2 linked regions of the Lepisosteus oculatus genome follow. The protein of the gene in region 1 purifies or fractionates together with the protein of each later gene. This does not show direct contact. Links are inferred from orthologs where the notes say so. Each region holds a gene or a part of one and is shown on either strand. Other genes may lie near its edges.

Evidence for each region. Proteins that work in one complex are often made in the same cells at the same time.
Region 2: the proteins of pkmyt1 (region 1) and zgc:86839 purify together in Homo sapiens (affinity purification with mass spectrometry; 3 studies listed by BioGRID and IntAct, counting the BioPlex papers as one, with this or other methods). This does not show direct contact. The link is inferred for Lepisosteus oculatus from reciprocal best matches to the Homo sapiens genes PKMYT1 and CKS2.

The regions. Positions count from the first base shown.
Region 1 is NC_090699.1:1,217,367-1,221,161, forward strand, and holds the start of pkmyt1 (membrane-associated tyrosine- and threonine-specific cdc2-inhibitory kinase), read right to left. Parts: upstream 2,981-3,795; coding exon 2,600-2,980; intron 1-2,599. UniProt on the Homo sapiens protein: Acts as a negative regulator of entry into mitosis (G2 to M transition) by phosphorylation of the CDK1 kinase specifically when CDK1 is complexed to cyclins. Mediates phosphorylation of CDK1 predominantly on 'Thr-14'. Also involved in Golgi fragmentation.
Region 2 is NC_090698.1:20,805,403-20,809,197, forward strand, and holds the start of zgc:86839 (cyclin-dependent kinases regulatory subunit 2), read right to left. Parts: upstream 2,601-3,795; 5' UTR 2,446-2,600; coding exon 2,387-2,445; intron 812-2,386; coding exon 684-811; intron 188-683; coding exon 144-187; 3' UTR 1-143. UniProt on the Homo sapiens protein: Binds to the catalytic subunit of the cyclin dependent kinases and is essential for their biological function.

The DNA of each region.
Region 1 (3,795 bases):
ACTGTACCCCCTCACCTTGAACACCTCCCCGAAGGAGCCCCTCAGGACTGTACCCCCTCACCTTGAACACCTCCCCTCTGACCCCCTCAGGACTGTACCCCCTCTCACCTTGAACACCTCCCCTCTGACCCCCTCAGGACTGTACCCCCTCACCTTGAACACCTCCCCTCTGACCCCCTCAGGACTGTACCCCCTCACCTTGAACACCTCCCCTCTGACCCCCTCAGGACTGTACCCCCTCACCTTGAACACCTCCCCGAAGGAGCCCCTCAGTGCTGTACCCCCTCTCACCTTGAACACCTCCCCTCTGACCCCCTCAGGACTGTACCCCCTCACCTTGAACACCTCCCCTCTGACCCCCTCAGGACTGTACCCCCTCACCTTGAACACCTCCCCTCTGACCCCCTCAGGACTGTACCCCCTCACCTTGAACACCTCCCCTCTGACCCCCTCAGGACTGTACCCCCTCTCACCTTGAACACCTCCCCTCTGACCCCCTCAGGACTGTACCCCCTCAGGACTGTACCCCCTCACCTTGAACACCTCCCCTCTGACCCCCTCAGGACTGTACCCCCTCACCTTGAACACCTCCCCGAAGGAGCCCCTCAGGACTGTACCCCCTCACCTTGAACACCTCCCCTCTGACCCCCTCAGGACTGTACCCCCTCTCACCTTGAACACCTCCCCTCTGACCCCCTCAGGACTGTACCCCCTCACCTTGAACACCTCCCCTCTGACCCCCTCAGGACTGTACCCCCTCACCTTGAACACCTCCCCTCTGACCCCCTCAGGACTGTACCCCCTCACCTTGAACACCTCCCCGAAGGAGCCCCTCAGTGCTGTACCCCCTCTCACCTTGAACACCTCCCCTCTGACCCCCTCAGGACTGTACCCCCTCACCTTGAACACCTCCCCTCTGACCCCCTCAGGACTGTACCCCCTCACCTTGAACACCTCCCCGAAGGAGCCCCTCAGGACTGTACCCCCTCTCACCTTGAACACCTCCCCTCTGACCCCCTCAGTACTGTACCCCCTCACCTTGAACACCTCCCCTCTGACCCCCTCAGGACTGTACCCCCTCACCTTGAACACCTCCCCTCTGACCCCCTCAGGACTGTACCCCCTCAGGACTGTACCCCCTCACCTTGAACACCTCCGCTCTGACCCCCTCAGGACTGTACCCCCTCTCACCTTGAACACCTCCCCTCTGACCCCCTCAGGACTGTACCCCCTCACCTTGAACACCTCCCCTCTGACCCCCTCAGGACTGTACCCCCTCACCTTGAACACCTCCCCTCTGACCCCCTCAGGACTGTACCCCCTCTCACCTTGAACACCTCCCCTCTGACCCCCTCAGGACTGTACCCCCTCTCACCTTGAACACCTCCCCTCTGACCCCCTCAGGACTGTACCCCCTCACCTTGAACACCTCCCCTCTGACCCCCTCAGGACTGTACCCCCTCACCTTGAACACCTCCCCGAAGGAGCCCCTCAGGACTGTACCCCCTCTCACCTTGAACACCTCCCCTCTGACCCCCTCAGGACTGTACCCCCTCACCTTGAACACCTCCCCTCTGACCCCCTCAGGACTGTACCCCCTCAGGGCTGTACCCCCTCACCTTGAACACCTCCCCTCTGACCCCCTCAGGACTGTACCCCCTCACCTTGAACACCTCCCCTCTGACCCCCTCAGGACTGTACCCCCTCACCTTGAACACCTCCCCTCTGACCCCCTCAGGACTGTACCCCCTCACCTTGAACACCTCCCCTCTGACCCCCTCAGGACTGTACCCCCTCACCTTGAACACCTCCCCTCTGACCCCCTCAGGACTGTACCCCCTCACCTTGAACACCTCACCTCTGACCCCCTCAGGACTGTACCCCCTCACCTTGAACACCTCCCCTCTGACCCCCTCAGGACTGTACCCCCTCTCACCTTGAACACCTCCCCTCTGACCCCCTCAGGACTGTACCCCCTCACCTTGAACACCTCCCCTCTGACCCCCTCAGGACTGTACCCCCTCACCTTGAACACCTCCCCTCTGACCCCCTCAGGACTGTACCCCCTCACCTTGAACACCTCCCCTCTGACCCCCTCAGGACTGTACCCCTCAGGACTGTACCCCCTCACCTTGAACACCTCCCCTCTGACCCCCTCAGGACTGTACCCCCTCACCTTGAACACCTCCCCTCTGACCCCCTCACCTTGAACACCTCCCCTCTGACCCCCTCAGGACTGTACCCCCTCAGGACTGTACCCCCTCACCTTGAACACCTCCCCTCTGACCCCCTCAGGACTGTACCCCCTTCACCTTGAACACCTCCCCTCTGACCCCCTCAGGACTGTACCCCCTCAGGACTGTACCCCCTCACCTTGAACACCTCCCCTCTGACCCCCTCAGGACTGTACCCCCTCACCTTGAACACCTCCCCGAAGGAGCCCCTCAGGACTGTACCCCCTCACCTTGAACACCTCCCCTCTGACCCCCTCAGGACTGAACCCCCTCACCTTGAACACCTCCCCTCTGACCCCCTCAGGACTGTACCCCCTCACCTTGAACACCTCCCCTCTGACCCCCTCAGGGCTGTACCCCCTCACCTTGAACACCTCCCCGAAGGAGCCCCTGCCCAGCAGGCCCAGGCAGGAGAAGCACTGCTGGAAGTAGGACTGGGGGCTGCTGGGGTTGTACTGGGAGGAGGGCAGCTGGCGGGGGGGCAGCAGGGCCAGGGACACCGGCCGGGGGCGGGGGTGGCTCCAGGAGGGCACCCGCTGGGGGAACACCCGGCTGAGGGGGGGGGCGCCCTTGCAGGGGGGCCGGGGGGGCAGGGAGCGGGACAGGGGCGGAGGGGAAGAGGAGGAGGAGGAGGAGTCTGGCTGCGGGCGCCTCTTCTTCAGGGAGAAGCTCTGCTCCGCCTGGCTGAAGAAGGCAGGAACAGGGAGAGGCGGGGAGGACAGCTGCGTCTCCCGCGGGACCGGCATGGACACAGGGGCGAGCAACAGGACTGCAGGGACTGCGCAGGCGAGGACACAGGGGCGAGCAACAGGACTGCAGGGACTGCGCAGGCGAGGACACAGGGGCGAGCAACAGGACTGCAGGGACTGCGCAGGCGAGGGCACAGGGGCGAGCAACAGGACTGCAGGGACTGCGCAGGCGAGGACACAGGGGCGAGCAACAGGACTGCAGGGACTGCGCAGGCGAGGGACAGACTGACAGCAGGGACTGCGCAGGCGAGGGACAGACTGACTGCAGGGACTGCGCAGGGGAGGGCAGGACAGACTGACTGCAGGGACTGCGCAGGGGAGGGAAGGACAGACTGACTGCAGGGACTGCGCAGGCGAGGGCAGGACAGACTGACTGCAGGGACTGCGCAGGCGAGGGAAGGACAGACTGACTGCAGGGACTGCGCAGGCGAGGGAAGGACAGACTGACTGCAGGGACTGCGCAGGTGAGGGCAGGACAGACTGACTGCAGGGACTGCGCAGGCGAGGGACAGACTGACTGAAGGGACTGCGCAGGCGAGGGCAGGACAGACTGACTGCAGGGACTGCGCAGGTGAGGGCAGGACAGACTGACTGCAGGGACTGCGCAGGCGAGGGAAGGACAGACTGACTGCAGGGACTGCGCAGGTGAGGGCAGGACAGACTGACTGCAGGGACTGCGCAGGCGAGGGACAGACTGACTGCAGGGACTGCGCAGGCGAGGGACAGACTGACTGAAGGGACTGCGCAGGTGAGGGCAGGACAGACTGACTGAAGGGACTGCGCAGGCGAGGACACAGGGGCGAGCAACAGGA
Region 2 (3,795 bases), on another chromosome or scaffold:
TTTTGACTGAGCTTTGTTGCTGTGAAGAATACAGCTCATGCGCAGGAGTTGGCAAATTTGTTGGCAAAATCCAAGTATTCACTGAATACCACAATAATGAACAATGTCCCAGAAGATTCATGTGAAGATTCCGGAAGTTCACTTTACTCTTTCTGAAGAGGTCTTCTGAACAAGAGAATGTGTGGCTCTGAAATAAGAGGGAGTGAAGTTATAATCTATTCCATATACATAGACTTTTTTCAGTATGCTACTTAATTTGTCAAAAAGCATTGATCTTTAGTCCTGGAGAGGACTTGTGCTCCTATAAAACAGGATAAGTTCGAATTCAATCAGTTTTTATTTTTCTACCTTCATCACAAAAAGTGTTTGCTTCCCTACAGCACTACAAATTATTCTTTGCTCTAAATCTACCATTTCACACAAGTCATTATGTCTTAAACTATAAAAAAAAATACAGGCTAGTAAAATTGAGGTCCAAATCTAAATCTTTTGCAGAGAATACTAAAAATTCCTTTAGACTACGTTTTCTATACATAAAGGGTTTTGATATCTGGATCTCATCAAAATGGAAAAACTGGCTGGAGTGAAACCATTCCTGGTAAAAACTGCAATTAACCTGAACATGCAAAAGCAGAAAGCCAGAACAGATTTCAGAGGGTTTAAGTGCCATAGTAAGTACAAACCAGGTTCGTGGATCATGTAGTGAACCCATCCAAGACTCTGCTGTACTCCTAACCGCCTCCATTCGTCTTCTGACATCAAGTGTGTTTTGGGTACTTGTTTTGCCAGCTCCTTGGGTAGCATTACATGCCTGTTAAAAGAAAATCAAAAACCTTTATTTATCCTGTGGTACAGACATCTCTATCTCTACTCCCGGTGATCCCCATTCCAACAGGATTATAATCAACATCTAAAGAGAAACACTAACTACAGGTGACTTATTAAATTAAGTAGGAGAAGACACTCTCGTATATATGCTGTGGGGGAAGAAGGACACCACCTACTCGTAGAAATATTAAGTGCAGATTTTATAGCATAAATATATAAAATATGTTTTCTACATTTGCAGAATACTTAAACATCCAAGGAGGTGGTAGTGAGGTTCAGTAAATAACTTATTCCTGAGAAACTATTGGCTAGTCACGTTTTAGAGTTCCACAACTCTACAGCAAAGATCTGCAGCAACACTGCTGGGGATGGACAGTACCAGCATGTATATATTTTGTCAATGTTTTAAAGTACTAGTCATCCATAAAGAACTGCAGCCAAATTCTAAAAGCTCACAAAGCATATTAAGAGAATCACTCTCACAGATATGCGATTTGATGAGTTCGCATTTGCTCTTTGTATGGGGCTTTGCAGTGATACTTGTATGCTCTTTGTATGGGGCTTTGCAGTGATATTTACACCGAGGGGATTTAAGAAACACTCAAGGAAGTCATGGGCCTGAAAAGTTCTACCAAAGAGAACAACAACATCTGCAAGTAAAGATAGAAGATCATGCTTGAAAACGACATACCCCCTGAAAATCATATTCACGGGGTGCAAAAAAGTCGACTTTTCTCTAAATAAAATGAACGATTACATATTCGGTCACTGCATTGGTAAACTGCGGAAAAGGTTTTTTTTAATCTGAAAACAGTGAAGGTGGAGCACATTCTGCTTTAGAAGGAACCAACCTAAACTGCCCTGTGATTTAGCAATTTGCTTAAAACTGCAGGTATACCATCCACCGTCTCTCTTTGATGTTTGAAAAGCCGAATCGTCGCGTTTCGCATCTCTGGTTTATTTCGTCCACAGGAAACGTGGGGAGTTTATCTGCAGGCGCCGGGAGGAAACACTGGCTGGTCTGTTTTCCGAAGTTCAGCCTGGGACCAGCAGCCTCGTTTTCTAGAAAGTTCCGGGTCTCCAACTAAACAAGCTTTTTTCAATTTTAGTTCTTATGAGTTTGAATGCTTGTACAAGAGTGGTTTCCTTTCGAATGAAGCCCGTTTGATACCGACGCTAAAAAAAAAAAATCTCCCGCATGGCGAACAGGAAAGTAACTTTCACTGACTCACCCAGCCCACAACAGAAAATAACTGTTCGCAACATGAAATCGCAGATTAAAATCGATCATTTTTTTTGTTACGTTTAACTAGCTAAAATACAAAAATACACAAAGCTTAAACATTTCTCATCAGTTTGTGTTTGTAATGAAAACAGAGACCTCCTTTCCAGCCTTCGCGCATCCACCGCGCTATACAATATAGAATAATCACTACCATTTATAAGGCTTAAATCTCACGAGTTACTATTTACCACTGTCTAGTAAATATTTTTTTTACTACAGCTACTCCTCCTCCTACCACACTATGAAGCACTGAACAAATGATAATTATTTTACCTGTATTCATAGTGGTCATCGGTATATTTATCGGAGTAGTAGATCTGCTTATGAGCCATGGCTTGAGTAAAAAATGACTGTGCTACAAAACTGGAAGCAGTAATACTTTTAAAAACGAAGCAAAATAGTAACTTCTCCACACAGCTCTGATTCCCAGTCCAACCGACACTGGTTTCAAACAGCAACAGAACTGCGAATTGAACAGCGAGAGCAAGCCTCTGATTGGACAGAGGGATGCCACGTGACATCCCTCTCCCTGCGAGAATCGCAGAGGATCACGGGGAAGGAGGTCAATTTTTTTTATTATTGAGACGCTCAGGAACCACGAGGTATAATTAATACTGGGGGCGGTTCTTGCAATACTGGTAAAATGTGTAAGGTAAAAATTGATCATTATTTACGATATATTTTTAAAAGTTGTCACTGAAGATGTTAAAGATAATAGATTTCGCTGCACGTCGTTTCTATAGCACAACTGTATAATCTTACCTAAATTGTGTGCTTTGAATTAACTACACTTAACATTAGGAAAGAGTCTTTATTATCTATAAGGGGCAATTTGTTTACAGCGGCTGACAATAAAGGAAAACTCTCAAACGATACACATGTATATTAAATAATTTGTTTTTAGATTGGGAAATCTGTATCGTCTGGAATGAAATGTGTTTTCTCAAAACTCGAAACTCATAGACAGACGTGGGATATGGTCGCAATTAATTTTGACAATACCGCCCAATTTGTTCTTATTTCCCAGATTTCGATTCTCAGACCAGCAAATTAGGGTATAACCATGCCATTAATCAGAAATGCTAGGTAAAATAAATACGTTTTAATAAAAACAAATATGAATACTTCATCCTACCACACCAACAGAAAATAAGGATCTAGTGATTTACAAGTCGTCAGGACTGGTTTGCAAATACCTGCATCATCTGTTTCTTTTTAATCACGTGTAGTTTTCAGTGGTCTCTTGTAAAAAATCAAAACCATTAGTTTGATTAATAAGAATTTTTACTTACAGTTATTTATTTGCTTTTTGTTGAATGTCTGTGCCACCTGAAGATATCTATACTAAGTTGCCATTTGGGTGTAGAATGACCGAGAACGTGTTCCCTATTCCGTTTATAACATGAACTTGGTATTTCTTACATTTAATAAAGTATTGAACTGCAGATGAAAAAAACAATCGTATAACAGCTTCAAAGTATTAATTAGAAAGCTTTCTAGGAAACAGCAGGAAGAGATAGGTGAGTTTTTTTCTACATATAGTAATTAATTGGAATGAAACATACATATTACAGTATTAACACAGCATTCTGTGAATTGACAACTACATAATTAATTTCAAGATAAAAAGAGAGAACAGTCAAAGTTTTGCCCTTTTCCATGTACTGAATAGTTTTCCTTTA